4 linked regions of the Drosophila melanogaster genome follow. The protein of the gene in region 2 interacts with the protein of the main gene of each other region in a pairwise test. Each region holds a gene or a part of one and is shown on either strand. Other genes may lie near its edges.

The links.
Region 1: the proteins of slam (region 2) and Df31 interact in a two-hybrid assay, tested with the Drosophila melanogaster proteins (one large-scale study listed by BioGRID).
Region 3: the proteins of slam (region 2) and Cpr65Av interact in a two-hybrid assay, tested with the Drosophila melanogaster proteins (one large-scale study listed by BioGRID).
Region 4: the proteins of slam (region 2) and kipf interact in a two-hybrid assay, tested with the Drosophila melanogaster proteins (one large-scale study listed by BioGRID).

The regions. Positions count from the first base shown.
Region 1 is NT_033779.5:21,624,183-21,633,213, reverse strand, and holds Df31 (decondensation factor 31), read left to right. Parts: upstream 1-3,281; 5' UTR 3,282-3,521; coding exon 3,522-3,547; intron 3,548-4,237; exon of another isoform or gene 4,238-4,563; intron 4,564-4,627; exon of another isoform or gene 4,628-4,752; intron 4,753-5,004; coding exon 5,005-5,372; intron 5,373-5,456; coding exon 5,457-5,614; 3' UTR 5,615-6,905; downstream 6,906-9,031.
Region 2 is NT_033779.5:6,368,817-6,379,000, reverse strand, and holds slam (slow as molasses), read right to left. Parts: upstream 6,614-10,184; 5' UTR 6,420-6,613; intron 5,706-6,419; 5' UTR 5,425-5,705; coding exon 3,694-5,424; intron 3,628-3,693; coding exon 1,837-3,627; 3' UTR 1,717-1,836; downstream 1-1,716. Other genes in the region: DIP-epsilon (Dpr-interacting protein epsilon), read left to right, coding at 1-161; Nepl4 (Neprilysin-like 4), read right to left, coding at 8,902-10,184.
Region 3 is NT_037436.4:6,137,583-6,143,720, reverse strand, and holds Cpr65Av (cuticular protein 65Av), read left to right. Parts: upstream 1-3,746; 5' UTR 3,747-3,859; coding exon 3,860-4,005; intron 4,006-4,115; coding exon 4,116-4,305; 3' UTR 4,306-4,498; downstream 4,499-6,138. Other genes in the region: Lcp65Ad, read right to left, coding at 1-30, 122-252; Cpr65Aw (cuticular protein 65Aw), read left to right, coding at 1,338-1,468, 1,534-1,756; Lcp65Ae, read left to right, coding at 5,643-5,749, 5,810-6,002.
Region 4 is NT_033777.3:7,910,161-7,918,003, reverse strand, and holds kipf (kipferl), read right to left. Parts: upstream 4,154-7,843; 5' UTR 3,921-4,153; coding exon 3,367-3,920; intron 3,213-3,366; coding exon 2,730-3,212; coding exon of another isoform or gene 2,726-2,729; exon of another isoform or gene 2,635-2,725; intron 2,092-2,634; coding exon 1,824-2,091; 3' UTR 1,551-1,823; downstream 1-1,550. Other genes in the region: CG10445 (uncharacterized protein), read left to right, coding at 1-148, 210-1,076; Rfk (riboflavin kinase), read left to right, coding at 4,991-5,075, 5,140-5,516; Prat (phosphoribosylamidotransferase), read left to right, coding at 6,395-7,843. UniProt on the Drosophila melanogaster protein: DNA-binding zinc finger protein that recruits chromo domain protein rhino/rhi to specific chromatin regions enriched in H3K9me2/3 histone methylation, mediating piRNA (piwi-interacting RNA) biogenesis.

The sequences.
Region 1 (9,031 bases), about 15 Mb from region 2:
TAACCACTACAGATAAGTTGGTTATCATATTGAAATTGTTCTGTTAAAACTCGTGATCCTTTTTTGCAGCATTCGACACCATAGTAGACCACGGTAACTGTAATCAGAAAATTTCGTCCGCTCTCTCGCTGCTCTCTACCCCACCGCTGCCTCTTTCTCTTCATATGACTACCTCTTCATTTCCCCATTGAGAAATATTCGACTGACAAACTAAGTAACACACACCTCTCGTCCCTTTTCTTGTGGAAAATCACTTTCTTGTCTAGGTATGCGCGTACATGTGTTTCTCCTCTTTGTGTGAGTTAGGCTCAGTTTCTCAAGGCTTGTTTAAATGCTCTATTTGATTTCATTTGTATAACAGCTCGCGAGCGTGTGTACCCTCTGCCTATTGCAACAAACCCTCGTTTGCTTTAAATTTGTATCCCAGTAACTAACAGCTCCAGCATATAAGTCCAAGATATTTGGAAGTTATTGATAACCGTCCGCCTTGATTACTTCCTTAACATACGTTTGCTATGCTGGTTATTTGCTTTTTCGATGTGTTAAATTTTTTCTGCTAGCAAGTTTGCACGCAAGACACCGAGCAATATCCTTCGACTAAACTAAGCCGCCCCGATAAACTTGACTGATTGTCGATTTCAGCCTCACCAGCAAGGACCTCCGTTATTTCATGTTTAAACGCTCAGAGGTCGAACGAGAGCAAGCTTTTTCGGCTGAAAGCTCGTTTTTGCGCATGCGATCGAAGCAATGCACTGATAACGGTACAGCTGGGCTATCCTGATAAGAGTCCCTTTGCACAATAGCGTATTCAGAATATTACCGGAAGAGCATAAAGTTAATTAAATCTCATTAAGGTCTCCCGCCAATAGGCAACCACTGACCGATGAAGAAAACGTCATGAATGCAGCTGACCTTAAAATGAGTGCAGCTGCTATTTGACAGCGCCTGTGTGAGTGTGTCGGGGTGGACTGCACTATGGGAAACCTAACCACTTTTTCTGGCCAAAATTAATAACTTCAGAACGGAGAAATTTATTAGGAAAAAATTCGACAAAATTTAAAAATTGTTCAAAAGTGTGGACGTGGCCGGTTTCGCGGCTTTAAAAATGCTTATGTATGGCAATTTATATTTTTATCGAATTTTGGGTTGAACATTTTTTTTGCTTTTGCCACTCACTTACTCATAATGCAAGCCACACTGATTAAATGCCTTACAGAATGTAAATAACGCTTCAGAAAAAAATTGGTTAATTTTTCATAGTAGAGTTCTGTTGCATTTATTGATGTCCACTAAACATAGTATACAAACATGAGTAAGAGATATTTACGTTATACTTTTTATACATTAGTAAGTAATTTGGGGACCAAAGAATTTTATTCAGAATAAAAAAAAGGCATTTCCAAGTCTATTTTTCTAAATGTTATTTTTTAAATACCACAAATTATGAATTTAGTAAATAGATCCGTTGATTTTTTTCCTTAAAAAAATCTACTGATTTCAAATCAAAGCCCGCCTCAACGATGTAAAAAAACTAGTAACGATGACACCTTTACTGCTCTGAAATCATCTTTTGTGATGAAAATATAATTTTGTTCTGTTCAAGAATATAGGTATCTTCATTGATATGTACGTGCTTATCTACGTATATAATTCTTTGCTGCGAACTTAGACATTAGAGCATAACTGATTTGAATTCAATCTTTTTTGTGCGTTCAAGGGGATTTCAAAATGGTTGAGAATATTAACCTTAGACCAGTAGTGCCCAATTTCCTGCGTCGCGGAAAAATCTGTTTTCTTTAATTATTGGTCGATATATCGCCTTAGAATATCGTGTCGAAAGTTTCAAAAGCTAATTCTCGAAATTTTGGGAGATGCCCTTCGGATTTCGGAAGTCATACTTTCCTTGACGGCAATCTTTAAACCATGTTTGGTTCTATATGAAGTAAAGACTTTTCAATACAAACGAATGCCTCGTTCCTATAATTATATTTTAGAAACAAGAAACAACCCCAAAGCAAGGCTAAATGGAATAAACCCAAAATTTTACAGACGATGAAATCGAAAACCCGAAACAAATCACCCACCTGTAAAGCAAACATCCGTTGTCCAATTTTATTAAATCAGCATGTTTTCACGTTCCAAGCCGACACTCACAAGCTCGAAAGCAAAAGTTTGAATTTCAATAAATAAAATCTTAAAAATCTAATAGCGCTTGTATCCAAGAGCGAATGCACTTCACTCCAAAAGCCAAAGACACTAGATTATTCTAGTGTCTTTGCAAAAGCCCATTAAAATTTTACAGCCCAAAGTCCATATTAAAAAAGCTCGAGACCGAGGATTGATCGTCAATCAATATAGATCAATAAGTGGAGTTTAGCATGAGACCTAAAATTAAATGTTGACTTATGAAAATTGAAAACTTGTAATTATATGTATGTATAATAGCGTCTATGTTCTTCGGCAATGGAATCTCAGTCCTAGTGTATTGTTTTCCTTGCCAATAGCCTAAAATATTGTAAAATTTTAGTGAAGCAGAAAATTTACCAGCTGCCTGGTAGCGCACTCTAATTCTTTTTTCTATTATACCGATCAAGGGACGCAGACAAGGCCACTATACATATGTATGTATGTACGTACTTATGCGTGCATATCTGACTACCTGAAAATGTTTTCAGAGGGGTGAGGATTATTTCCGTCGGTTTTATGTGTTTGATTACATACATATGACATATCTTTAAGATATTATTTTTAAGATCTTGTAGACTGTGTAATTTACAAGGAAATTGATTGATGTAATTTAATAAAAAGCTTGAATTTTTTAAAAATGACGATATGTGTATATATATATATATGAACATACATGTTTGTGTGTTTGTTTATTTAATTTTTAGGAGTACCGGATCAAAAAAAAAACTTAGAATTGGGAAGGTGTATTACACGAAAAATCACTCAGGTCAATGAGAAAAACAAGGATAGGAATGCATTTGAATATTTTACCTGCTATATTTGTGTAGCCGCTAAATAATAGTTAAAAGGTGGCAGCCCTTTTTAGGGGACCGTTATTTTGAAATATTTGTCACTGCTATATTTCATCTCTTTAATATATTAAAATAAAATTGTAAAAATCTATCAGCATAAGCTAACTCCGAATTAAATAGAGAACGGGTGATAACGATAACAAACAAAGATATGTTTTCCGGAGGCGGAACTATCGCAAGCGGACTACCGACGTCTACCAACACTACAGGGCGGCGCTTTAAAAGCCGGTCCGACGCTCACCGCTCTCTCATTCGGCGTTTTTCTTTGTGACTGTGTGGACGTTCTTAATTGTACGGCAAAATCTCCAGCAACCAAGCTACTTTCTTAGCAAAGCTACTAAAGAGGAAACTATATTGATAAAATTTCGTTCTTTTAAAATCTTTGTGCTGATATTTAAGGCGTGCTTGGTGATCCAAAAACCCTCAGTTACAACGTGTTTTCTCGCTTCGCGTTTGAAAAGTAATATCTAACAGTAATTCAAAATGGCTGATGTGGCTGAGCAAAAGAAGTGAGTACTTTGCTTGCCTTGTTTTCGGACGTTTGTGGATTTTGTTTAAGCAATGGACTTGTAGCGAATTTTGCTAATGAAAATCTATGTTATTTGCCGAAAAGATTTGGAAATTTTCTTTTGAATTCTGTGTCTATATACGCAAACCGCTTGTTGGCACTAATGTAGTTGTCTCGTTCCCGCCAAAGGCAAAACGGTGTGCGCGCAAAAACCGACGCCGTTTAATTTGGCGCGGCGTCATGGTGCCTTCTCGCTCTTTCTCCGGCCGGCAAACAGCAACGATGAATTATTTGTGTGTGTGTGTGTAGCGGCGGAGTAATGCGTTGAGTGTATGCGGACGACAGGCCAAATGCGCAAAAGTCTATAGACATGTGTGTGTGTATGCGTGTGCAGCATTCAAGTTGCCGCTCTTTTCTTGTGCTGTTTCATTTCATCTGTCTGTGCTACCTCGTATGTTGCTTTGCTGCGTTTCTCACCAGACATCAAATTTCGAGGCTTGCCTTTTATACCCATTTGATAGCTTAAAGCTCGAAGCTTGAAATTAACAGTATAAATTTTCACGCATATCTATATTGGCATTACCAAAAATACTCCCTCTTTCCCTATCGATGAACACTTATGTATATATTTTTTTTAAGTAGTTATTATATGTTGCAGCTTATAATACATAACAAAACAAAACTCATGCCTAAGGCTGTTCCGGTTTTCTTTGAAAGACGCAGGTTGTATGACGTTATGCTACTGTTTGTATCGTTTGGACCGTTATTTTTGTCGTTTAGCGTTGCTACTTTGCAACTCTCTTTTTGTTCGCCCTATAGAATTCTATCTACCTCAGATGGCGAGTATCTGTTGGTAGATGAGTGCGAGAGAAACGACTATATTGTCATTAATCCCATTAAAACTGGTTTTTATTTCTATCTTTGTTCGTTTTAGTTTAAACGGGTCTCGCTTTTCATTTTGCACGTCTGCAAGCGTGTTTTTGGTTCTACCCTGTTCTCATCTGTTGGTAGAGAGCACTGAAATAACAAATGAATATATGCCATTTATATGAAAAAGAGCGTGCCGCCTAATCGCACTCACCTTTTCGCGCTTCCTTTTGCGTCGCAGCTTGCACGAGTTGTTGATCCCATTTTTGAAAAACGCCGGCAGATGTAACAATGCACTTTTTTTTTAGTTTTAATTCCGAACGTCCTGGGGCTCTTATGAATAGAAAGTGGAGGATGAAAACATAAACGTTACCTACCGGCGCTATATTGAAATTTTTCTTTTTTTTTTTTAAATTCAATTAATATTTAATTAATTAATAATTAATAGTTTTAGTTTTTGATAATTTTTAATTGATTTACTGTTTAGAGTTTTGTATGTAGTAGAATGCTATGCATACGAAGTTCAGTTCGGCCACCTTCGGAAAAAATTATAAGTGCATACTGACTTTCGTCTCTGATTATCACCCACAGTGAGACCCCTGTTGTCGAGAAGGTCGCAGCTGAGGAAGTTGATGCTGTGAAGAAAGATGCAGTTGCCGCCGAGGAGGTAGCAGCTGAGAAGGCGAGCATCACAGAAAACGGTGGCGCCGAAGAGGAGAGCGTAGCCAAGGAGAACGGAGCCGCCGACAGCAGCGCGACCGAGCCCACCGACGCAGTCGATGGTGAAAAGGCGTCTGAGCCCACTGTTTCTTTTGCCGCCGATAAGGATGAGAAGAAGGACGAGGATAAAAAAGAGGATTCCGCTGCCGATGGGGAGGACACCAAAAAAGAGAGCAGCGAAGCTGTTCTACCTGCTGTCGAGAATGGCTCCGAGGAGGTCACCAACGGTGACTCAACAGGTATGATGATATCAATGATATCAATGCCAAACAAATTTTCCACGTTCATGTTCTTATTGTTCAATTTTTATTATCGCCTTACAGATGCTCCCGCCATTGAGGCTGTAAAGCGGAAGGTGGATGAGGCTGCAGCCAAGGCAGATGAGGCCGTCGCCACGCCGGAGAAAAAGGCTAAGCTTGATGAGGCCAGCACAAAGGATGAGGTTCAGAATGGGGCCGAGGCTAGCGAAGTGGCCGCCTAAGGGAATCGCCCGCGGAGCAGCAAACTCAGTAATCTACTTATTAAATACTTACTAACACAAAAAAAGCAAATCACAGAAATTACGGTTCTACCGCCAGGAACCCGGACTGTATCCATTTTCCGCTCTTGTGAGCGGGTGATACGTGGGTGGCTGCTTGGGTGGCGGGCGCAATTCTCCAATAACAATCCGGCAATGGGAGCGTAGTTTTATAGCGTACCGGTTCTCTCTCTCTCTACTAACAAACAACCTACCAACCAACAATACCGGCAACAAACGAAAACAAAAAATCCATTATTATTTAAAAACTTACTTAAAATCTTAACTTTAAAGCAAAGTATATATATATATAAAGCGAAGGATTAAGAGAACAATATTAAGCGAAATTAAGATGCGAGACCCTCTATGTTTTAAGAATAAAAGTTGTAAACAAAAGCGTCAAATTTAATAATTGTAAAAAAAAATACGAAGCGAATGAAACAAATTGCAAACAAAATCTTTAAGTAAGAAAAACATCAAAACAATTACGGCAAAATAACATATGTAATCCTTTACAATTTTTAATTTTACAACCGTATCTTATTTTTGAGTATGAATATTTATATCGAACAAAGTAAAACTAAAAATTCAGTAAAATGTAACAAAAAGCTGCCAGCAACAACCCCAGAAAAATGTATGCCAACCGGCTAAAAAAATACTACCACATAGAAACAATAAAAAGTACGAAAAACAACTTTTACAGCAATACTCTGAAATGTTTATTTTTAAAATGCTTTCGAAATCGTACCTTTTTTATTTGTAATCAAGGTACCACCTATTTCACATTCCCAATTACATTTTATTTACTTGTCTAAGCCTACGAAATAGTCTGCGACGAAACTCTCATTAATGTTCAATGTTTAACAACGATTTAATGGGCAGGAAAGGTAATGGCCAGTAAATCCAGCATTCAGCAAAATCAAGATTCGAGATTATTAAAAAATAAAATGAAACGTAAAAATTAAAATCAAACTGTAAGCGTAACTTTTATTAATTTGAGCATGTTTGTATTCGCACAAATAACAGCTGTCGCCAATAGTAGAAATTATTATTTTCTTGGTAGGGTGCGGTCCAAGTACATATTAGTGGAAAGTAAACTATTTTAGGTAATATGATTTCGACACAGAACGTTACAAATAGTATTACTATTTTGCCTACGGTAAGTTGTTTTTTTTTTTGTATTTTTGGACTTTCGTTTAATTTTAATCAGAAAATTTAATATTTGATAATCTCTTGACTCATGACATTATATCCCATATATTTACGTCAATTAAGAAGCCTGTAAAACAAACACGGCAAATCTACAGTTCACACTTTAGCTAAAATTACATGAAGAATAAACTCCGCAAAATTTTATTTCATTTCATTTATTTCACGCTTAATGACATCCAATTTTTTTTTATTTTAACCTTAACAATAATAAGAGTACAGGCCAATAATTAAACCTTATCTACTTAGATATTAATATCAATATGAATAATATGATAATGAAAATATTATACCGATTGGGAAAAAAATTTTATGTAATTGAAAAAAAATCTAAGCACTTAAAAAAGGCTATTATCTAAAAATTACAATTAAGGTGGATAGGTCAAATCATTTATATGCTGGTGCACAGCCTCTTGACATTTAATAGAGAAATTTTGGGACAATCTTATTAATCTATTATAAACCACTTCAATATTGGCTCGGTTATGTAAATGAGCTGTTGAGTGATGCCAAGGGTGATTAAAGATTAGTTTTAATATTTTGTTTTGTCTGATTTGTAGCAGGTTAATGTGACATTTGGCCATTTCTGACCATACTGGAGCACCGTAAAAAGATAGTGCTTGGAAGATTGACCTGAACAGAACATTTTGTTTTCAATGTTTTATCTGGAATTTATGTTTATAAATGGATAAAGCGAGCAGATAATGGCTTTAAGTTGTTCGATTGTGTCACTTATGTGATCTTTGAATTTTAGCCTATTGTCTAACGTGATAGATACCCAAGTATTTGACAGTTGTTTCCCAGTTGTTTCTGCAAAATTAATTTCGATAAATCTCTGGGAAGTGTTCCATCTTCCAATCCTTCTGGATACCAATTTATACTAGTCTTTACCCTATTTTACCCTTTATCCGTAGACAAGATTATTTGAAAAGATTTTATCAGGTAACGTTTTTTTTTTTATTTTTTGTCAGAATCAATAGTCTAGCCAAAAAAAATAAATGCCAAAAATCTTTATCAAAGGTGTGGGCGCGCGATTTTTTGTCGGCTTGTAGGAGTGGAAATCTTTTTAAACATGATTGATTTTATTCATAAGTTTGCAACGCAGGTAAGAAAATATTTACGTACTCATATTATTAAGCATGTATTTTATAAGATATTTTGTCGGCCGTATGAACGTCGAGATTTCAGGAACTATAAAAGCTGCGTTGAGATTAAGCATACAGATTCTAGAGACACAGACGCAGCGCAAGTTTGGTTTGTCTTGCCAATTTCTAGACTATAGCATTCTCTGTTGTTTTTATGTTCAATTTATTTTCCTTCGCAGAGCATATTGTCATGCCCACAGTTTCGACATTTTTTTGGGGTCTTTTTATTTCACTGCTTGTTTTGTTAATTTCTATCAGTAATGCTGCGTTAATCGTAGCAAATCGTGGCCAAATCTTTTGATTTCGTTTTTAAGTCTGCTCTGGTTTTTGCAAAATGTTTGCTATTGGAATGTTTTGTAAACAGAAAACAGCTATTTAACTGTTTTCCAAACAATAGAGCAGCCACCTTCCTTACAGTTTTAATTCCGTTGTTCGCAATTACTTTTTTACTGGACATTGTCCATTTATGTAATTAAATTAAATAGCATTATTTACGATCAGCACGTTTGTCCCTCCTTTAAATTTATTAATGAATTCTTTTATATATTATACAAGTGTTTTACTTGCCTTATTCGTTTCACCAACAGTACGGCAACCTTCGCGATAACTTTTGGTGACGTCTTAATCGAAAATTGTTGCCGACGGCAAAATATCGTATGTCAAATCTGAGGTCAGAAAAAATTTTTCTAAAATAACTAAATGTCAGAATAATCTTGTAATGGTGTGGAATAAACATCAATAGACCACGTATTTCCCCTTAGTAAATAAAATCCTATTTGATAGAAAACAGGCATTTACTTTTCATTACGGCCATTCAAAAGTGCCCGTTTTATAAATAAAAAAATTCTTACGATTTTGCGATTTTAAATCGAAATCGTAAAGTTTTTACGAAATTTATTATCGGATCATGTTATCATGCGCCACAAGCCAAAAATTAAAAAAAAAAAATGTATTTGTTTTTCATTTTATTACTATATTTATGTATTGTGTATTCATATGCCTGAGGATTTGGAAATGTCTAATTTGT
Region 2 (10,184 bases):
ACGAGATCGACAAGTCGAAGCAGAAGCTGACGGGCAGCAGTCCCAAGGGATTCGATTGGTCCAAGGGCAAGAGCAGCGGGAGTCATGGCAACCTAATGGCGTCCAGTTGGCCCCTCATCTGCTGCATCCTCGCACTGCTGACGACACACTCGTGTGGTTGAGAACTATGTGCGATTCCATTTTAATAAAGTGCCATTACAAACAGTCGAAATGAAAGGTGTTCGAAGCCGATGCATACGATTAGCCATAACAACTGTGTAATTAATTAAGCGAATTGCAATTTGCAAACGTTAACGAAGTCAAGCTTTGGTTTTCCCCGAAACTCCCTATGCAGCCCATTAATATTTGATTACGTTTGGTGGCGAAAACCACAGCGTGTTTTTAGGCAAACAAAGTTACCAAATTAATCAACCTCGCATATTTGTTTACCATTCGTTCGGAAGCACTCTAAAATATTTTCTAAAAATTCGTTTGGTTTTAAAACCACTATACCATCGGTGAGGGTATGCGAAGAATGTTGTAAAAAGCATTTCGGCAGGGCCAAAGCAAACATGCGATGCAAACCAAAGCACATAAATCCTGGTTAGTTAGATATAAAATCAATTAATTTGCATAAATACAAGTGGGAAAAAATAGTATACCCTTCGAATGATGCCAAATTGTTAAAAAGAGAGCACTACTCACTCACCTCCAACTGTAAATAAGCGCGTATATGCATGGATAAAACCCCAAATGCAATTGTAAATTATGTACTCGTTATAGGCACTAGAAATGAATGTTCATTTGTACGAGAGTAGGCATCAAACCATTTCAAAACTAGATATTTAACGGGAAAGCGAAAGGCTTAAATACTCTGAAAAACAGGCACCTAAAATGCATTAATCAAAAACCATTAACCTAAATAAGTAACTAAGCAAATATGAATTACGAATATTCACGATTGAAGCGAAAACTGTTGATACATAATTTAGTTAGCTGATCAGTTAAGACGGGTTTACAGTTGAGAAATAATCCAAATAAAGCCAAATCCAAATATGTAAGTTCTAAACTACTCATACAGAAATACATATATATATATATATTTAAATACCTACATATATCATAGGCCTTAGTTTGTGTTTCTTAACGATAAGAGTGATAATGTATATTTATTAACTTGCTCCCCGAGCGGAACAAACTGGCACTGCGAAAGAAACAAATAAAATATCTATGTATTTGGGATTGCTTCTTAAAACTTAAGCGACTTTTATTTCAGTAATCTGTGGTTCTTGATATTGACCAGTGGTACTTGTGCAAAAATATAACTATTATTTTTTATTTGAAAGTCAAAAGAATGTCGACGGGACTTTTATTTTATGTTGAACAAGTAACCATTTATTGCATTAATAGTTAGTACTTTTCTCTGATACCATGTTTGCGCAGCACTTTTGCACGTGAAATTGTTATTGAACCGAACCCAGCAACTCCTTTTGGCCCCAAACGGATTCCCTTGGCCACTGGATGTGCACTAACATGGTATCCTTGGCCAGGAATGTCTGAAGTTGATGCAACAGGAGCATTTGCTTGATGAGAGCAAGAAAAAGAAACCATGTGCTTGCAGGAAACGTGATGCTTGCCAGACTCCTACGTGTCTGCAGGATAGCAAGGAGCTATGCCCTCCAGAACCCCTGATTTTGTTGGACTCTGCATGCCCAAGGAAATACACTGAATGGCTTTAACTTTTCTCTTTAAAGTTTATTATCTAAAATCTTTGTAACATTATATGTTAATGTCTAGGAACTAATTGTTTATAAAATCTTAAAATAAAGTCAGATCCCGATGAGGTAGCACCATCGCTCAGACCTCCACGGCCCTCCGGTCCATCAGGGTGTCGAGAATCTTGTCCATGTGCTCGCTGCAGTTGGCCAGGCACACATCCGCATACTCGCTGAGGAAGTACATGAAGCTCTCGAGCTGCTCCATCGAGCAGCCGCGGAAGCCATCGTCGCGTCCAATGTTGTCAATGGCCCGGATGATGGAGCGCAGCTTGTGGACATATTGCGGCGTGTTGCGGCAGTGCTCCAGCGAAGAGTCGGCCAGATTCGCGGGCTTGGCGTAGCCACGAATGCGCTGCTCCACACTGCGAAGTTTGGACTGCTGCTGCTTGAGGGTCTGCATCATTTGCGGCACGGACATGGCGGGTGTGGCGGCAGAGGGAGGAGCCTTGGCAAACAGCTCGTCCAGGGGAACCGCCTCGTAGTCCAGGGAGAAGAGATCAGGCGAAAAGGACAGCCTACCACTGTTGTTGCCGAAGCTATCGGACTCGAACTCCGTCTGATCCAGGTCGCTGGTCTTGATCGCCTGGTTGGCACTGATGCTGCTGTTGGGCCAGGAGTACTTGCTGCGACCCTCCAGGCCATTGCTGGCACCTGTCTGCAGACCCACCAGTATGCTGTAGCTGCTCTCGATGGAATACTTCTGGGTGGTGGGCCAGAACTCAGGCACGCTGCTGAACTCAATGTGGTCAACGCCGAAGCGCAACTCCGACTGCTCTCCGCTGAGGAAGGCAAACAGCCGCTCGATCTTCTCGCTGGACATCAGTTTTCCGCTGAAGGGCACTGCGAGATCTCCGCTGGCGAACCAATAGTGAGAGCAGCCCTTCACACTGGGTGGACGCTCGGGCAGCGACTGTCGGACGGAGTCGGAACTGGGAGCTCCGCGAATGAACTTGTGTCCGTCGATTCCGAAGGCCAGGTCACGAGTCTCCCAGCTTTTCTGGGTGAAGATTTCGTACAGCAGTCGCAGGCGCTCCGGGCTGTTCTTGAAGATTTCCAGGGAGACTGTGAAGTCCCCAGAGGTGATCCAGAACATTGAGTGCGCCTTGCCGGTCGGACTCTCATCCTGGGAGTTATCAATTTCAACAGTCGGGGCATTGGCGAAGAACTCCCGCTCACTGCACGGTGTGGAGGGTGAGCTGGAGGTGGCGTCCAGATCGAGCGGATGATCCTCCCGGATCACTTGCATGGCCAGGGAACTGCGACGAGGGCGCTCCTGGATGAGAATCGGACTGAACAGTTGTTGTTGCGCCGGACTGGAAGCATGGCGTCCCTTAACTGGCGTGGAAAAACCGGATGGCTTCGATTCCGTGGCTCCAAGCGAAGATCGGCGTATCGGACTGTTGTCCATCGGATCGTTCGAGCATGTCTCAAAGCCCTGATCCACGAAACTGTCCCGCATGGCCTGTACCAGGGATTGCCTTGGTGTCTGACTAGGAGACTGATCGCTGTCTGCATTCGGCGAGGGAGATGACATCACGGTGAGGGTGTATGCCGACTTGATCTTCCGGGGCGAGTTCAAGTGGCGCATCAGTGACTTATCCAACTCAATGAAACTTGGCTCGGGCATTGGAAGTGGGTTACAGATAGCACCGGACTTCTTCTTGGCCGCTCCTGATAGCGGAGGCTTGTAATCTGAATCGGAGTCCGTTGAGGTTATTGCAGTGGCCTCGACAATGGAGTTCTCCTTTTTCCATGTAAGAGTTCGGCGCATTTTCTTCTTGCGTGGCGGACGCTGGGGCTTGGCAAAATCAAATTCACCTGTCTGCAAGTCATCCTTGGGCGTCTCTGGCTGGGATTCGTCGCTGGTTATCTGTGATAGAAAATTAAGAACAATGAGTCAACATTCATGAATCCACTTATTAAAGATATCACTTACCTTGGGGAGTGTAGACAACCCGGATTCACTTTCCTCAGCCTCGGATTGCTTGCAGCTGGATGCACTGGAGGTAACTTGACTTAGACTGGGTCGTGGGGCTGGCACTGGCGGCGCCTGGCGCTTAATGCGTCGCGGAGTGACTTGAACGATGGGATCCTGAGCTGTATCCATCTCCTTCTTTTCCTCGACTTGTGTCTCCTTCTTGGACTCGTTATCTAGCTCTAATTTTGCGATGGCCTCCTCCAGAAGCCGCTCGACGGCGGACTTTTGGCTCACATCCTCCAGAGTAGCGGTGCTCGGCTCAAGTAGCGGTTGCTCCAGAAGATTACCCTCCTCGGTGGCTATCTCAATGGTCTGCTGACCGTCAGACACACTCGTAATGTCGAACTGGACACCGTTCTCCGAGCTGAGCCAGCTGTAGAACAGGGTTTCGAGGTGTTCGTTCTGAAAAAACATTTGGCTATCCGCACCGGTGCGCTCCTGTCGAGTGCGTCGGATTTTCTTTGGTGGCGCATAGGCCTCCGTTGGCATCATGGTGCGAATCGCGGCGAGGTTTCGCTTCTGGGATGGCTCTCGGGCATGTTCATCGCTCTGACGATCCAGGCATCGGCGGGGTCGTGGCTGTGGAGCTCTGCGCTCTGGACTTGGCTTGAGGATCACAGTCAGGGTGCTCACATGCAGCTGGGAGGTGCATGTCTCCGTTTTGCTCTCAGTCGTCTTGGGGGGAGAGACACCACCTGGTCGCGGTGGCGATCCCGGCTCCAGGATACATTTCGCTTCCAACTCCTGGGCGAGATGCTTAACACTGGCTTGTCGTTCAGCCACCACCTCCCCTCGTGCCACCTGTTTGTTTACCTTCTCCTTGAGATCTGCGGCATGTGCAGTGAACTTGGGGTGCTTGGCTGCCATGTCACCGATGAACTTGTTGAACAGCAGGGCTTTGTCCTTCACGCTCAACTCGCGGAAAACTTCCTCGGCCACCAGGCAGGGTCCTTGAACTGGGGACTCTAATGGCGACACCAGGCGGTTCTGTGCCTTAACCTCCGGCGACATCTCATTTTGCAGCTGAACATACTGTGGTTCCTCTGTACGTCGCATCACCTGGCTGATCTTGGAGTTAAACAGCTGGGCCATCTCCTTGACCTTCATGGGCAGCGACGCGGATACCTTTCTGGAAGCCTGATATGCAGAGCGTGGCGTCTCCATCTCCGGCAGCTGTTCGTATTTCTGCTTGAGCTCGCTGATCTTTAGGTGGCCACTACCCACTTTTGGCTTGGGCGGCGTGACCGGATCCGACTGGAGGGCCAACTTGGCAATTGTGCTGGCCACTTTACCCGTGTTACCCGCTGCCTTGGTGGTACCCAGTGTCTTTGTTGGCGTCACAGGTACCTCTTCGTCGAAGTACTTCATCAGATTCTCGATGCTGGACAAGTCCAGGTCGGTAACCTGCACTCGGCGCGGTGATGCAAACGAGTTTTGGTACTCCAGGGCGGTCAGGAAGCGATCATCATCCAGCGAGGAAATCTCGAAGAGTTCCTCCCTGGTCATCGTAGCTCGGAGCAGGCCACAGGCGGTGCTGGCATCTCCGTGGCGGCTGGAGCGACGACGTTCCTCGATCTCCGCGTTCAGCTGCAGTAGCTCGCTGAGATCATCACTGTTCATGGCTGCCGTGTCCACTACCATCTGGTTGTGCTTGGACTGGTTGTTCGGCGTGGAATTGCTTAGGACCATTTTGGTATTAGTTTGCTGTCTTGTTGTTGACGTTAGACGTTTCAGTTTGTAACTGTGGCTTTCTGGCATTTTGCTAATAGCTTATATACAATGATCAGGTAAAATATGGATTGGGTGCAGATTTTATTGCCCACCCACTGCCTCAGATTTTCCTTAATCCAACTAGCAGCGATCAGGTAAGATTAACAGCCGCAGCTGTCGGATCGATGGATTTTCCTCGCGCTAACCGATATTTAATTATTTTCGCGAACCTTTCCGCTATAAATATATATCCAGGTGACCTGAAACAAAGAAAACAGGTAGGTAATATTAGGGCTGTGCAATAGATGTAAAATGTAAGGTTCTGGAAAGAAGGGATAACCGAGGATTCACTCGAAAGACAGCTGACGGAAAGTCCTTAAAATTTAAATTCCAATTATTGCAGTAACTCAGCGAAATCAACTCCCAGCATCATCATTATACTGCAACCGAACGAATTTTCCGAGAAAAATGCGAATGTTAACAAGACCCAGGCGAATTGCAGCCACAATAAAAATCACACACTGAAAATTCTTCATCTGACTATTGCTGAAATTTGGAGCGAAAACGAACCGAATTCAGGACCCCAGGGATAAGCAGAACTTTGCTTGCAGTTTGCCACAAAGTGACTTTCACACCGACAGAGCCATAAAATGAAATCAGGGGCTGAGATTTGCGGATGCTCAGGTGGCAGAGCTGGAGCTGATGAGTTACAGAGCTACAATGATAAGTTCCATAATGGGATACATCTTTTAACTGCCTGATATTTAACGATTTTATCTTTAATTTTTGGTTTTAATGCGCTTTTTTACTTTTAGCAAAACGGAGTGCCTATTTTTTTATCACAAAGCTGAAGTTGTTTACATGGGAAGGGTATACTTTCCAAATATTCCAAATTTTCAAGACAAAAGCGTTCTCTAACCCTTTTTTGGGCTTTCTAAAACAGGCCGGCTATTTATATAAATTAGTTAACTTACTTTGTTAAGGATTTCCTTGTTGAACTATGATCTACTTTAGGCAACACAGTATTTAACACGCACAACTTCATAAACAAATTACAAATTAATTTTGTAAACAAAAGACCGCGAAAAAGCGTGGTTATTTGCGCCAAATAACATAGTACATTTACATCGATCTAAGGGCTCATTTGCCGGCTTTACGGAATATCACAGCTGATAATAAAGCCAATCACCACGAATTAAGAATCAGCTGATTGAATCAGCATCAAAGCTCAGTGCTTTTTAAACCGTAAACTAATCTAGACTTTAAATATCATCATGGGCTCAAGAAAATGATTAGAATGTCAATAACTTATATTCTAGGCAGACCAGTGAAGATATGAGAATTCGATGGCTATTAACGGCCAAAACGGCTTACAACTCAATGATACGATAAATTCAAACGGATTGCTCCCGTGGCCTGAATTCTATCAGACGTGCCTTTATTGGTATCTGAATATATTGCTATTTAAGCCAAAAGAGGCACACCAAAATCATTCAGATGGACAGTAGTTGGTCAGTTGGCAAATACCCCAAATGACAAACAAAGCAATCCCCGAAATACCATTCGACGGTGAAAAACATTTACAAACATTGTGGTCGCCAACAGCAGCGGCAAAAATTTAGTGGGTGCTTTATGATAAACTCATGTGGCTGGCGTTCCATATCCAACTGGAATGGACGGGGACGCAGTGGTTCCACTTGCTAAGTAGCCACCGCTTCTGTCGGCGACACCGGAACGCGAATATTTGGTTTCAGATTTTGGGCACTCAATGCAGGGCCATGCAATTTTGAAAATCTGAGCGGCGGCATGTACCCCGCTTTATCAGTGCGGGTTAATTAGACACTACCAGTTCTGTAATGTTGGCAATTATTTCATTGCCGCAAAATCCGTTTACTCGCATAACATGCCCACAATCGGTCTGAATGACGATGCGCGACTTGTAATTTCATCAGCCCTATCAGTCCGTCCGTCCGTCTGTCAGTCTGTCTGTCTGTCTGTCTTCCAGTGCGCCACCTTCGCTGGCAAATCAATCAATTCCGCACAGACCCACATACATACATACATACTTACTCCGCCGAGCGAGCGCACGTGACATGGAACCCCGAGTGGCGGGCAAGACCGCCGGAATCCGGGGGTCAAGGAACGAACCTCAGCCGAGCCGAGTGGAGCACCGCCGTGGCGATCAGAAGCAGCGAGTTTGTTGCTGGCTTCCGACTAACACCACACCATTCGCAATTCGCTGCTCCGATTGCGTCACTCGGCTTTCCGCGTTCCGCTGGCCAAGCGGTTTATTTTAAAACTAATTATAAGCCAGCCCAAATATAATGCACAGCCGCTTTGAATTACATGAATGAATGAAATTCAGCACTGATAAGCCGTTCGACGGAAAGAGGAACTGCTGGCCATATCGCAATAGCCCACACTCAGCATAATGTAGCCGCGTTGGATGAGCTCTGGAATTCAGACTGCTAAAGATGTGTTTATCCTTTACATTTTGCTGACTCACAAGAAACTAGAAAATAATCTGAAACATACCAAATTGGAACCGCAGAATATTGATTTAGATGACTGAGCCCCACACCCCATTTCACATGAGTAGCTCGAGTGTCTCGAGGCATACGTTCTTTATCGCAGAATCAATTCAAGTTTCCCGTTTCTAGTCCATTTGTGGGGCAAAGACAAACGTACGGTCGCCCATTCATCGGAAACAACCACGATTTGGGGCTGACCGCTGTTTGACACGCGGCTCACGCGCTATCATCCCGGCAGGTTGTTAATGGCCCATTAATGCGGTTGCCAGGCGAAACCGACCGCTTGCCACGCGCCTTCAAGACCCACGCGGCGTATGAGCGATTTGCGCGACGACCTTCAACAAGTTGCACAGTGCAACCACCGACTTGGGGCCGGGATTTGGAATCTAAGTCGGATTCTGGATGGTCGTCGCCCTCTGGGCTGCCGTCTGCTCCGCGCAGGATGGGTGTTAATTAGCAAATAAATAAAAGCACGCCGGGTAACACATACGCACCGTGGGCAAGCAAGGAAAAGCACACGTGAGCTCTTCGGCAGAGGAAATCGGCAAAAGTTCAAGGTGCACAAACAGAGTCGAAACATTTTGTACTTTTAAAAAGGTTCTCGCTCACACTGTTAAATATTTCGACTGAAGGAAGCATCCCATTTTCTTTATTTCCTCTGCGTAGGTGTGAGTACCTACCCCCCTATTTTTTCAGTGCCTGACAGCGAACATCCTGGAAGGGCATCTACTGCTCACCGATGTCTTGTCTATCACGTTGCACACGTAATTGAAAATTAACTCAGTCCGTGTCGGAAAATCCGCCCGACAGATGCGAACCGCATACGCAATTGCTAAGCATAGAAGTTTATTCACAATACTTGGGTTCCTAATTAAAGCTATACACCGACTAGCAGTGGGAGTCACCGACCGTCTCTGGGCATCCCTCACCAGAAGGGACACTGGTCCGCGCTGGTCATTCCGGAGCCAACATGGCACCGGAACACCTCTGCGAACTGCGGCACCTGGCCGAGGGCGTAGTTCAGCCGCTGGCTGCCGGAGTCATGGTACTGGTCGCCCTCGTCGCCGCAGAAGAAGTGGGCGAACTGGAGGAAGTACAGACGCCCGTTGCCCGACCGAGTGAGCCAGTCGCCACCGTAGGTTTGCATGGCCAGCCGGGATCCGCTGACGTCGGAGGTGCGCTCGTTTAGCATAACAGCGCTGCTGTTCAGGCATCCAACCGCTCCGTTGTAGAGCTCCACTTCGCCCAACTGGTCGCTAAAGTTACGCAGATTACCCTGCGCATCGTAGTCCACCAGATCGGTGTCGAAGGCGTGCATGATCTCGTGGCCCAGGGTGTTGGCCAGATCACCGTAGAGCAGCGCTGGCCAGAAGTTGGCATCGAAGAAGGGACGCTTTACGTAGGAGTACGGCACGAAGATGATGTTGCCCAGGCAGTAGAAGTACGGCGTGGCATCGATGTTGTCGGGAAACTCGGGCGTATGCATATTGAAGCTGTACCAGATGTCCCGCTCCTCCTGGTCCGAGCTGCTTTCCAAATCGGCGACGAGCGTGTAGTAGTAGAGCAGGCTGTTCAGGTGATTCTCGTAGAAGTCCCTGCCCACGCTCCACCGCCGGTCGCTGTCCCAATAGAATTGCTCCGTCACATTGGGCGGTAGGTTGCCCACATTGATGCGCATCTGGTGCACCTTTGCCTGCAGCGATTTCACCAGATCCTGACTTAGATTGAAGGCGTTGTGCTGGACCCGCAGCTCCAGCTGACTCTGCAGCTGCTGGAAGACGCTGTGGATGACCAGCTCATCCGCGTGGCGGCGCCGGGAGTAGAAACTTCTCTCGTAGACGTAGTTCATCGGCAGGTAAACAGAGCGGCGCATGTGACGAATACAGTTCCTTCCCCGCGACCGCTGTCCGGACTCCCAAGTGGCCAGCGGGTTATGTGGCAGCTCAAGCAGGTGGCTGAGAAATCTTGCCAGGCTGTACCGATTGAGCAGCAGAGTATCTACCGTATTGAGGTACTCCACAAGCCCCTCGATCGCGTCCAAGTCGTCCACCTGGAAGACATGATTCCCCGGCACCGATCTGCCCAGCTGTGTCCTCAGCGCCTCGTCCCAATGCAGACCCGGCACCTCCGTCCGAATCTGATCCAGACTGTAATTCCGGAAGGTATCGTCCGCCGAATGGGGCTTAGCCAGTCGCACCAAGTTCTGCT
Region 3 (6,138 bases), on a different chromosome or scaffold from region 2:
TGATGCGACTTTCCGTCGCTCGTCTCCACGCTAAAGAAAACCAGAAACCGGTTAGCAAACGACCTTGACACAGTTGGAAACCTGGAAATCTGGCCGAATCTGTTGAACGACAACCACTTACGCAAACTTGTAGCCCTCGGGCAGGACATCGCTGTCGAAGCGCAGCACCTGAGCATCCTGCTGGATGGCTGGAGGAGCGGCCAGTGAGCAGGCAAGGATACAGGTGAAGGCGATGGCAATAGTGAATTTCATTTTGCAGCTGGAATGTGGCTGATGGGGATTGGGTGACTCAAGTGATGGGTTCGAGGAGTGTGCAGACAATGCGTGCAATTCTCTTGCCGAGTGGCGAATTTATACTCCTTCGGCCATGTAATGCAATGCGTGTAAGTGGCAATTAAGGGAGCAAAAGAAACCGAGACCCAAAAAAAAAGTGAGAGTGGGAGTGGGAGAAACCAGTTTGTCGTTTTGTTTCCTTTGACCCACACTGGTTACCTAACCAGTTGCTGGATGCTTCGGCTCGGCTTTGCCTGTTTTGCGATTGATTGATTGCCCAGCGACAAGATACACAGATTTCATTTGTCTTCGACAAATTAACTACAATGTGCGCCCTGCCCAGGCCATGAGTTGCGTTAGTTGGTCTTAGAAATAGTCAATAAACTGTGAAATTGGGTCACATCGAAATTGGGCTCAAGTGCAGGCGAAATGAAATGCTCGGCCTAATAAAAAGCTTTTGCCATTTCCAATTTCAATGTCCCTCGGACACAGTTTTTCAAAAGTTTTAAAAAGTGGCTTGCTTTTTATAGTATTTCTCTACGTTTTTACAGAAGAAGTTTGACATTTTTTGTGCTAGATCACAAAAATTAAGACTTATGGAGAACACATTTTTCGAACTTGCAAAAAACTAGAATTCTGATAGAATTTTACACAAATATTCCTGACATTTGAGCTTTTTAAATGAAATTTTATAGTCAACAAGTTTTAAAAAGAATAAAAAAATCTATATATGTAAATAACATTTGGAACTTTATATATGGCTGAAGTGTTAGAAATATGTGGACAATTATCGCCTGAAGCGAATTTAGAGGGTTAAGGCAACACCATTTGAACTTTTTGGAGCGTCTTCGCCGCAAATCGTTTGCTTTCAATTTCATTTCGACTTGATTTGCCAGCTTTTTGGCTACCGCTCGAGTCATTTGGAAATTCGCATCTTATTACACACTCCGTTAATTAGCCGGAGTTTGTATTGGGCTTAGTATGGATTGCAGGGGGATATATTGAACGGCCTTTGCGCAATCTGAATTAGTCGCATAAGCGGATCGCCAAAGGACAGTTGACAAATGGCCGGCTTAACACTGCTTTTCGGCCTAATCCTGGTCAGCTTCTGCGCGTGTTCCTCAAATGCCACCGATACTGCCCAGATACTGAGATACGACAATGAAAACATGGATAGCGATGGCTATGCCTTCTCGTAAGTAGGTGGTTCAGGGTCAATACCAAGTTTGGAATAAGTTGCTTACACACGTCTCCCCGTAGATTCGAGACAAGCGATGGTATCTCGCGTGAGGAGAGGGCCACTCTGAAAAATCCTGGCACTCCCGAGGAGGCAATCGCCATCCAGGGCAGCGTCCATTGGGTGGGACCTGATGGTATTCACTATAAGCTGAACTATCTGGCCGATGAGAACGGTTTTCAGGCTCAGGGCGAACATCTTCCCCAGGTAGAGCACTCATCACGTGATAGGTTTGGACTTTGTTGATAAGAAAAAGAATAAGCACACGCAAAACCACCGAATAGCTAAAGTAGGCGGGTAGACAATAGAAATGAAATACATAATAATAAAATACAGACACAGGTGTATATATATCTATATGGCTGGGCATAAATTTTCACCCATCGAAATTGAATTGTATTCTAGGCAGGAAATTAGCATATATACATTTGTATCTTCCAAAACCCGTTTGCTCTTCGCGCCTGAATTGTGTGCGGTAATCGACTAGCTGCACTCTCCGATCCCCCGATCTCTGATCTTCAATCTGCGGGAGCTGACCAAACCGGTTCAATAAACGCCAAAAAGCACCCAACAAAGGTTGCCAAAAAGCGAAACACAATTAATGAAGCCACAATGCTGCCAACGAAAGTGAGAATTCCGGGTAAAAAAGGGCATTTTAAGGCAATTAACCTAAGCTCCTCTCATTTATCAATCGTAAATGCAAAATAATCGGTCCTTTCCCAGCCTAGACATATTATTTTACACGGCCGAAAAAATCGTAAATGCAAAATAATCGGTCCTCTCCCAGCCTAGACATATTATTTTACACGGCCGCAAAAATAGTACACATATATTTTTGGGCGAATTTATAAGCTCTGTTAAAAAAAGTATCTTAAAAAATGTGGTATTGCAATATTTGCAATATGAAATACATAAAAATTATGTTTATATTTTTGTATGACTTTAAGTATGTATTTACATATATTAAAGGAACAAGGTCTCTTAAAAAGTTTAGTCTAAACAAATTATAAAGTGATTCTGTATGCAATTATGCCATTAGACTACTTCTTGCTGTGTACCAGTCACAGATTTCTGAATGATTTATAATGCCCGAAAATGACCAGCAGTGACATTACGCATACGCCCCGATGTATTGTGGTATTGTAGGGCATACATAGCCCAGCCTTAGTCGGCTGAGCTTGGTATTGGCTTTTGTTGTCTGGTTAGCTGGTATTTTATTGACTAAGGTCATCAACCAACACTCGGGCTGCTGACTATGGAGATGGAAACGACGATGATGAGCCGCGTAATCTTGAATCTCTCGTGCCGCATCTTCACTTAAACAGCAAATGCAGCTGACAAGCAATGGCGGTGGAGGTTTTCGTTTCTTTTCGATTCGATTCGTTTCAAGATTTTTGGAGGTTAAATCGCCCTGTCTTAATCGGAAATTGTGTCAGCAGTTAACAGACGTCAGGGCGGAAATGCTTCAATATTCCCCAAAAAAAATTTGCAGCTTTGCAGTCGGATAATTCAAGAATTACATTTATGAGGAAATATCAGCTGAAAAAGCGGAGATTAAGTGTTTATATGATGGCAATTAAATCTCAAGATCATGGGAATTCCTAGATTCCATGAATTGAATTCTTCTTCCCGTTCTTTGCTTAGTTTCCTAAACATATTTTAAGTGGTTGAGTTTTATTCACTTCCTCACTGCTCACTTCTCTTGGGGATTTAATTTCCAACCCATTTTGCTTTGTTTCATCTTCGATAATCTTTTTCATCACAATTTGTTGATAAGTGCAAACATAGCCATTGACCTATTGCCATAGATCCAAATGTATATATGCCTGCTTGTCTACTTGTAGGCAAACACGCGCATTGACCAAATATTTGTTTTTTGTTGGGGGGCCCAAACATTTCATTATCACTTGCTCCATCATCTTCAGCTCCGATTTAACTTTCAGCTCCCGTGGCGTGGCAATTGAGATGAGATTCGAGCGCACATCAAACGCTTAATGGTCTTTAAATTATTTTTTTGGCTTGTTCAATTAAAAGCTTAAGCTACTCACGCTGCCATACAGTTGCCTTCAATTATATGCGTATGGGTAGATAATTGTGTTAGCATTTGAGGTGTTTGTTATGGGCCACCTAAACTTTACGGATCACATAAGTGTGTGTAAATGAGTGTGTGTGTTGGACTCGCAGCACTTGGAGTTTTGGCCCGGCCAGTTATAAATAGCTCAACACTCATTACAGTTAGCCACATTACTCGTTAGTGCCTAATTGTGATAACTACCGGAGCGTGCACTAAAAACCAAACTTAGCCAGGACCTTTTGAAAAGTCTCTACCAGAATCCAATCCAACTAAACATGCAGTCCTCCAGCATCTGTGTCCTGGCCATTTGCGCCTTCGCTCTGCTCTCCACCATTAGGGCTGCTCCTCTGGACGACTCCCAACATGCCACCATACTAAGATACGACAACGACAACATTGGCACTGATGGCTACAACTTCGGGTGAGTAGCAAGGACAATGCACGGGATATTTCCAAGGATTGAAACTTTTGTGTACTCTCGCCTTTCGAAAAGAAGAACCCATTCAAAAGAGTTAACTATCTTGATTTCAGCTACGAGACCAGTGATGGAGTTACCCGCCAGGAGCAGGCTGAGGTGAAGAACGCCGGTACCGACCAGGAGGCGCTCAGTGTGCGCGGTTCCGTCAGCTGGGTTGCTCCCGATGGCCAGACCTACACCCTGCACTACATTGCGGATGAGAACGGTTTCCAGCCCCAGGGCGATCATCTGCCCCACAACTAAGTATTTCCTCTTTGTGTAGTCAGTATCGAAAGCAGTATTTCTTTATATTGTAAAAATATCAGGGTTCTAAAGTATTTTAATGTTTGCTCCAATGATCATATTTCATTATAATAACATAGTCGATATCAATACATAAATAGCTGAATCGTATTGTTTGATTATTAAATTATCACAATCAAATGCCAGTCTTCAGCTAGTCTGTTTGGATTTTTTGCGATCATAAAGTGAAATGAGTTAGATCGTCCGTTCAACCCGGATCAAAAGACGTTCCCTATGCTAAATTTAATATTTATGGTAGGGCTATATCAATGAAAAGAAAAGTATGACGCAAGAGATGGAAGAACAGGGTGCCTGTTCTCTTCACATTTTCCATACGCAACGTTGAACGTCGAAATGCGGTGTGTGTCTCGTCTTGGCTCGTCTCGTCTGGCGACTTTGCCTGGACGGCCTTCGGTTGGCAGAAACTTGCAAATTTTTGGCACAGCCAAACATGTTTGGGTTTTTGTTGTCTTTGTAATTAATACATAATTAAAGTGGCGCATATTGAAAAATGTGCGAGGGATCTGGCCACAAATGAAAACGAAGTTTTGAAGGTTAATTTCAGGCGTTGATTTAAATTTCATGCGATGCTAATGAAATTTGGAAGATACCTTCCAAAAACAACATACAGCGCACAGAGAGCCAAACGGCCAAATTAATATGCATGAAATAAAAAGCTACAATGATCAAACTAGTTTTGGAATGAAACGATTGGACGCATTGATCGATCTTTAAGCTAACAGAGCGCTGACGTAGTTTCCATGCCCAATTTTAAGTTGAACACACTTGATTTACATACTTATTGTCGTTGATGTACAGAACTATTGGCTGGTATGCTCAATGAAGTTCTAAATATACGTATGCGAATCGATCGAACTGAACTCATTGCTATTTTCCGATTGTTATATTAGGAAGGGATGTGAAAATGAAGTTGAACAATAAGAAGTGCTACACATTTGAATTTGTCTAAGAATTGTTTAATTTTATGGCCATTGTTAGTGGTGAACTAGCCAATTAGTAGAACTATCTTGCCTGACGACTATTTATTTCATGTCATTCCAGCTTGATACGATGCGAAATGTATGTGCAGGGACATTAATTCGAAAAACCCGATGAAGCATCCCATTATAGTTTTGCGATTTCCAAAATGCGAGTCCATTTAATGAGATATGCAAGATTTTAGGTTTGACAGTGTCGTGGATTAGATTGCAAGTCAAATATAAAAGTGTTCATCCTGCACTCCGTCGATATCATTCGCATCGAACTCTTCGAGATCTCCAAACCAGCCCAAATTCAACATGAAATTCCTGATCGTCTTTGTAGCAATCTTCGCTTTTGCTTTGGCTAACGAAGCGCAAATTATTAACTTGGAATCCGATGTTGGACCCGAAAACTTTCAGTGGTCGTAAGTAGACTGACAGGGTCCTCATAAAAATGCCTAACTGATTCTGGACCTTCGTATTAGCTTCGAGACCAGCGATGGCCAGGCGGCTAACGCTAAGGGACAGTTGAAGTACCCTAACACCGACCACGAGTCCCTTGCTGTCCAGGGATCCTTCCGCTTCGTTGCCGATGATGGCCAGACCTACGAAGTCAACTACATCGCCGATGAGAACGGATTCCAGCCCCAGGGTGCCCATCTTCCCGTTGCCTCCTAAGTGGTTCGAAGTGGAATACCATGATTTTAATATTGCTTTAACTGCCCTAAATCCGTTTTGGCCAAGTCAAAAGTCAAAATTGTAGAGCTACTAAATAATAAAAAATAATGAATGTATATAAAAGAATCTGTTTTTC
Region 4 (7,843 bases), on a different chromosome or scaffold from region 2:
TATGTCCGACGAAAGGTACAACGAGATCTACGAAAGATTCCTTAAGTCGCTTGGCTACAATCCAGGGGAAAAGATCCTTGGTATCTATATCCTGGTGCTACTGCTGCGGCTACGACAGTTTTGTTGCCATCCGGGACTAATGATTGGGGTAAATATATACATATTTTACTTTATCACCCCACATAATCATACTCAACATCTTTCGTTAGATGCTGCGTGGTGCTTTGACCGCCGAGGACGTCCAGAACGTGAAGGTGGATGCCTCAGACGTGGAGGGCCAGCTCAAGATGGATGTCCTTGCCGAGTTGGATAAGTTTGACGAAACCGATAGCGAAGATGACTGTTGTGACGAGGAGGACAGTACTAGAAGAGATGGCAATTTCAAGTTGGAAGTGATAAAAGATGAAATTAAGGAGGAGAATGTGCCATGGGATTCTGGTGATGACCTGCCAACGGCCAGTTCTTTTGAGGATCAACTAGATAGTGCCAGAGCTCTTAAACTGCTCAATCCCCAGAATCCCATCTTTCAGTTCATACGCCCTTCTGCCAAACTAAAGATGGTCATTGATAAGCTAGAGGAACTGCTCACAGGCACCAACGACAAAATCATTGTTACATCTCAGTGGGTAAGCTATCTCGCAATCGTCCGTAAAAGACTGCAGGATCTATCATGGGAAACACTTGACTTTAATGGCCAGCTGACCGCCAAAGAACGCGAGATTGTACTGCGAGACTTTAACGCGAATAACGAGAAGCGCGTTCTTCTACTCTCCCTCACCGCTGGCGGAGTGGGACTGAATCTGAACGTGGCCAATCATATGCTAATTGTGGACCTCCACTGGAACCCGCAGCTGGAGCGACAGGCTCAGGACCGCATTTATCGATATGGTCAAACTAAGCCTACCTTCATCTACCGCTACATGTGCCAGGACACTGTAGAGCAACGAATTAAGTCCCTGCAAGATTGCAAGCTAGAAATTGCGAAAGTTGTGCTTCCAGAGGAAGGAGGAGAAGTGACCAAATGTGTTGGCGGTGGTCTCAACCTCGCGGAGCTAAAGAAACTCTTCGAGATGTGAGTCGAAGTATTTTAGTTAGTTTTAAGAAGATTATGTTTTTTTTTGTTTAAATTGTTCGCATACAAAAGCTTTACAATTTCACCAAAGTGTTTTTTAACGGATTGAATTCGTTTACAATTGTGTATTAATACTACACAGACTACCTTTAACGTTATACGTTACATTTGATATAGTCGCACGTCCATAAAGCATAAAGCATATATATTCCCTTTTTTTCTATATTAAGAACAAAACGTACTAATAATAAAGCATACTAGTTGTTTTCATGATGTATGGATCATTCTTTTTGTCTATTTTTCCTTTTGTTCTCGCAAAACCACAACAAAGCTAAAAGAAAAAAGTTTGAAGCTCTAAAGATATATAAGAAGGCATTAAGTAGCATGTGGTAGCAATCAATCGATTGTTTAATTATTTTCAGTATAATAATGTATTGTGAAATATACAATTAAAAGGAAATTTCAATAATATAAATTTAGAGCTTATTCTCAGTATATTTGAGTTTCTGTGAAATATATAATTAAAACGAAACTTAAATAATATTAATTTTGAGCTTATGAAAGTAACAAAAGAATCATATTTAAGAAAATTCAAAGTAAGAATCAACAACAGAAGTTTAGACCTGCGGTCATTATAATTATAATGAATAATAAATCGTTTATATTCCTTTCACATATATTAATCTGCTTAATTCAATGGTTGTTTTCCAAGAGTATAACCGGTAGTCACCCGTTTGGACATGATCTTCTCCTACATCGCTATTACGTTGTTGCTGTGAATGCGTTTTTTGTGCTTTCGCAAGTAGTTAACATCTACAAATACCAATGAGCAAAATTCGCAACGAAACAGATCTCCCATGTGACCACGCTCGTGCCTTTTGAGATGTTTTTCTGTTTTGAACTCCTCGGAACAATAGGTACATTTTTTAAGATGATGTTGGCGATTGTGAGTAAGCATATGCCGCTTCAAGGCGTAGACACTACTGAACTTCTTTTGGCAAATATCGCATATCGGTTTCCTGTTGTTAAATAAATAGAAGCAAATGATATTAGTTGATTCGCCTCGACTATCAGATACCCGTTAATCAGCTAGTAAAAGTGCGAGGGTTTTCTATTTCTATAAATTTTACTAAATCTTAGGGATTTAGCTCCTATAGTTAACGGGATCACGGCGTTCTTACGGACACGCAGACGGACGGACAGACTATTGATCCTGTGCAAGATTATTATTTCCTTCTACTAGTAAACCTTTTTATTACTTATCGTGTAACGGGTATACAATTTTAAAGTTTGGTTAAAGTTTGATTATTCAAATTTTCTTCGGCGAAATGGCTATCGCCAAAAATTTAAGTAAAAGAATAAATGAAAACAATAACTTAATGTCCGTTTGTTGGCTTTTTAAAGGTCTGAAACAAACTCAAAACCTTAATTTTCTAGATTTTTAATTCCAGAGATCTCTGCGGACAGACAGACGGAAAAATAGACGAACGGACGGACTGATGAGAACTTATGAACTCGGCTAGTGGTTCCGATTAAGAATATAAAGGGGTCAGATACGCTACCTTCGCTCGTCACAAATTTCTCAGCGGTACTAGGGTATAAGTATAACTATCAGGTATAACTATATTACATAAGACTGGTGGAGTTCCAAACTCACGGCTTTAGCATAGGTGGAATGCTGCACGTGCCATTGAAGGTGTTCTTAGTCCACTTTGGTTTTAGATCCTGCGCTTGATCGCTGTCGTCCGAGTCAGGATCCTTCGTGGACTCCGATTTTGAAGAGCCCGGCCTTTGTTTGTGCTCTCTGCGATGGATTTCCAGCTGAACGTGTTCGATAAATACCGCTGAGCACTGGCTGCAGGAGAGCGGACCGTCACTGTCGTGGGTGCGCAGGTGCCTTTTAAGGTGATCTTTACGCATGAAAGCCTTCGAGCAGTGGAAACACTTGTGCGCTGGCTTGCTTAGGTGGTTTCGCAAATGCCGCTTGAGGTTCGATTTTTGCATATAAGTGCGTGGGCAGTAGGGACACCTGTTGCACAGATCGGTGATGTGGGTCCTTAACTGGGTCTGGGAACAAAATCGCTTAGAACAGTGCGGGCAGTTGTAGTAGCCATCGGCATCGCAGATCATTTTGGTACTTCTGAAAATCGGGAATATAATTATTTAAGCTTATTTAAGTTATTTTTAATTATTCATATAAAAGTATAAGTAATCAAAGATGTACCTTCAAATTTTTATAATTTTTCAATTATTTGTCTATCTTGAGGCTTGATATTTATAACAAATTGCATTACCTTGTAGCTTCCTTTGGGATCATGTCTGCCTGTTCTTCTGTGCGACAAGTCCGCTTACGAGGATGCAGGGTGAAGGACTCCGGTGGGCCATCAATATTTCCCTCTTGGAGCTTCGCTTGGAGTGTTTGTTTTTGACTAAGATCATCATCTGGTTTCTGCGTTTTTGTCATTTGCTGCGTATCCTGTTGACGATCGCTTTTGAGCTGCATTTTCTGGTTTATTATCTGGTTCTTATCCCCATTACATGCAGCTAAGTGCACTTGGTTTTCCGGAGCACCCGACTGGTTTAGGACGCGGAAGAAGTGCTGGTAGCTCTGCTCGCTTTGCCACTTGAACCGGAAAGCATTCTGCACGGCCAGGACGCAGGAAACGCATATGAACTGCGGCAGCAGGTCGCCGCGTTTCACTGGACGTTCGGTACACCTGGCCAGGATGTGCGAGAGGCTCATCTCCGGTTCGTCGAGCACAGGATCCCTTACATTGGCGAATATATCTACCAGGGTGCCGGTCTCGTCCATACAAGTCCGGCACACGTTCTTCGCGCTGTGCATCATCTAAATCAACAACCAAATGCAATGTTTTTTAATAAAAGAACAGTTTACGACATCTTATGAATTGACCATTGACATTGGCCTTGTTTTGCAAACTAATAATCCCGTTTCGCTGGTTTTACAGTTATTGCTGGTAAATTATATGAATAAACGGCACATTTTTTAAAGAGTTCAATTGATTTCTCATTCTACACAAGTGTAAGTGTTCACTTTTTGGAGAATTGGATGATAACTGGAACTGCAAAGAAACCAACCGTCGCACTGATCATTTGTACATTTTTTTTAGTGCTGAATAATACATGTACACATGGAAAACAATTATTCAGAATAAAAAAAATTGAGATTGATATGATATGAAAAAATATGTATATATGTATATATATGTATATATGTATGTATATTTGTATTAATAACACAAATATTTTTCAGGCAAGCTGGCTTTCATTGTAATTTAATTACGATTTGGTGTTCTATTTATTTTGGGAATAGAGTACTAGTATTTACACAAAACATCTGATGATTCATTTATGAAATAAAAATTCAATATTTTCAATAGAAGCTCTACACAGCAAATAAAAGCTTTTGATGAAAATATGTTTAACCCGCCGCTAAAATTTTAAAATCAATCCAATTACATTAATTCTGCATTACAATATAAACCCAAGCTTTATTGATTAAAACCATACTGTGCGTAATATATACATTTCAGTTTCTTACAATTTAAATATCTAGTAAAAAAAATTCGCTAATTGACAGTACTATATAACTGAAACAGGTTGGCAGCCCGAAGGCAACAGCTGATTCGCTTTATGAATGCGGAAAATTTGTCTGTGTGTTTATGAATATTATGCCGATCAATGGAACGAGGAATAGTTATGTGAGTGGCTACGCGGCAATCACAACATACGTACTCTGTAGAAAACCCCGCTTGACTCCTTGCCAGACTCGATAAATTGGCCCGCAGCGCTTTGCGGTTGCACAGAATACCGCAAATCAACCGCCCATTGGCCCCTGATATTCATTTCAAGCGCCAGCACAGCAGATCTGGGTCAGATTGCAAGGAAATCTGGGAAATGCTGAGCCAACTGCCTCTGTTCGCTGGGGGCGAGATTGTTCGGGGCTTCGGACGCGGCTCCAAAGAGCTGGGCATCCCAACAGGTTGGTGGCGACGTTAGGCGAATTGCGAAGGTCATTTCTAATTGATAACCAAACCACTTGTTAGCTAACTTTCCGCTGGAGGTGGTGAAATCGCTGCCGGAATCCCTGCCCACTGGCGCGTACTACGGTTGGGCAAACGTGGATAATGGACCCGTGCACAAGATGGTCCTCAGCATCGGCTGGAATCCCTTCTACAACAACAAGGAGAAGAGCGTGGAGACGCACATGCTACACGACTTTAACTGTGACCTTTACGGCCAGACACTCAAGATATGCATTGTAGGCTACCTGCGACCGGAGCGCAGTTTCGACTCCCTGGAGTCACTGATTGCCGCCATCCGCGGGGACATCGAGCAGGCCAAGGCGTTCCTCGACGAGGCGGACAAGGCCAAGCTGAAGGAGGCTCCGTTCTTTACGGAGAAGCTCTGCTCGTCGAAATAGCGATGGCGTAGGTCAGTCTGGAAAAGGAGGCTTTGCTGAAGGACGCACTACTACTCTTCGCACGGCTTTGAAATAGTTATTCCATCAGTTATCTTATCTCTCAATTTGCGCGATGTGCAAAGCGGAATTCGAATATCGAATCAAGTACTTAAGCTAAACGTTTTCATTAAATTCCTACTGCTCATAATGACACCAACAAATTGAACCAATCGCATTTCAGTTTGATACTTATCAAATGTATAAAAGAAACCGTTTTTGTAAAAATGTTCCTACTGTGAATTTTTTCTAATATATTTATCTCTTAGTGGCGTTTTTATTGAGGGATTGCAGTGAACTTATTTTCAATTGTTATACATATGTAGTTAATTATTATTTATTTATTTCACGAAACATTTTTTATATTTCTGGTTTTAATTGCCTACGTGTTAAAAAAAAAACTGTTAAATATTATATATACGAACATACACATACAATTTTTAATTAATTTTAATTGCGCAAAATAACTTTAATTCAATTTAAAGCTTATTATTTAGTTTGATTGCGTATATTTTATATAAACGAATAAAATCAAATTATAATGTGTATATTGTTTTGTGTACTAAATTACAAATTAGGTAAAATTCCAATTTGAAAATACAGACTATAGAATGCTATCGATCCATCAGCACACCGCACTATCGATATCAGCGACCGATCGATATTGGGCTTGATCTCGACCGATTCGGGAAAAACTGAGCTGCGCGTGCGAGCGTGCGAGGATTTTTCTTGTATAAAACCGTTGCGTAAATCAGCAGGTAAATCAGATCGGCGTCAACTGCGCCACTGCCTGCAATCAGTTGCCTTCAACCAGCATATTGTACCGATTTTTCAGCAGCAACATGTCAGCGCCACAGCAACAACAACAGTCGCAGCAGAAGCAACAACAACATGTGCGCGTGGTCGAGCAACAACAGGTGGAACCAGCTGAGGCGGTGACCTCCAGCATGGAATCGGAATCCATCTCGGCCAGCAAGGAGCTAACCGGTTTGACGCACGAGTGCGGCGTTTTCGGGGCAATCGCTTGCGGAGATTGGCCCACCCAAATGGACATTGCACACGTGATCTGTTTGGGGCTGGTGGCACTGCAGCATCGTGGGCAGGAGTCTGCGGGCATAGCGACCAGCGAGGGAAAGTGCTCCAAGAACTTCAACGTGCACAAGGGCATGGGTATGATCAGCACCCTGTTCAACGACGACTCCATGAAGAAGCTTCGTGGCAACCTGGGCATCGGTCATACACGCTACTCGACCGCTGGCGGATCCGGAGTGGTTAACTGTCAGCCCTTTGAGGTACATACGACACATGGAGCATTGGCCCTGGCCCACAATGGTGAGCTTGTTAACAACGAATCTCTAAGAAGGGAGGTTTTGGCCAGAGGCGTGGGCTTATCCACGCACAGCGACAGTGAGTTGATCGCCCAGTCGTTGTGCTGCGCCCCGGAGGATGTTTCCGAACTGGATGGACCCAACTGGCCAGCTAGGATCAGGCATTTCATGATGCTGGCGCCACTCTCCTACTCGCTGGTCATCATGCTAAAGGACAAAATCTACGCCGTGAGGGACACCTATGGAAATAGGCCGCTATGCATTGGCAAGATAGTGCCCATCAATGCTGGGCACGGAAATAACTTAGACACACCTGCCGATGGTTGGGTGGTGTCCAGTGAGAGCTGTGGCTTCCTGTCGATCGGTGCCAGATACGTCCGCGAAGTGGAGCCTGGAGAGATAGTGGAGCTGTCGCGAAGTGGCTACCGCACGGTGGACATTGTGGAAAGACCCGACTTCAAGCGCATGGCCTTTTGTATATTTGAGTACGTTTACTTCGCCCGCGGAGACAGCATCTTCGAGGGTCAGATGGTGTACACAGTGAGGCTGCAGTGCGGCCGGCAGCTGTGGCGAGAGGCTCCAGTGGAGGCGGATATTGTGAGTTCCGTTCCCGAGTCTGGCACAGCGGCGGCGCATGGCTATGCCCGTGAGTCTGGCATTGAATTTGCCGAGGTTCTCTGCAGGAATCGCTACGTGGGACGGACGTTTATTCAACCCTCTACCCGGCTGCGGCAGTTGGGAGTAGCCAAGAAGTTCGGAGCCCTATCCGAGAACGTGGCTGGCAAGAGATTGGTCCTGATAGACGATTCCATTGTGCGCGGCAACACCATTGGACCAATAATCAAGCTGCTACGGGATGCAGGCGCCCGGGAGGTGCACATCCGCATTGCCAGCCCACCGCTGCAGTACCCATGCTATATGGGTATAAATATTCCAACTCGAGAGGAATTGATTGCCAACAAG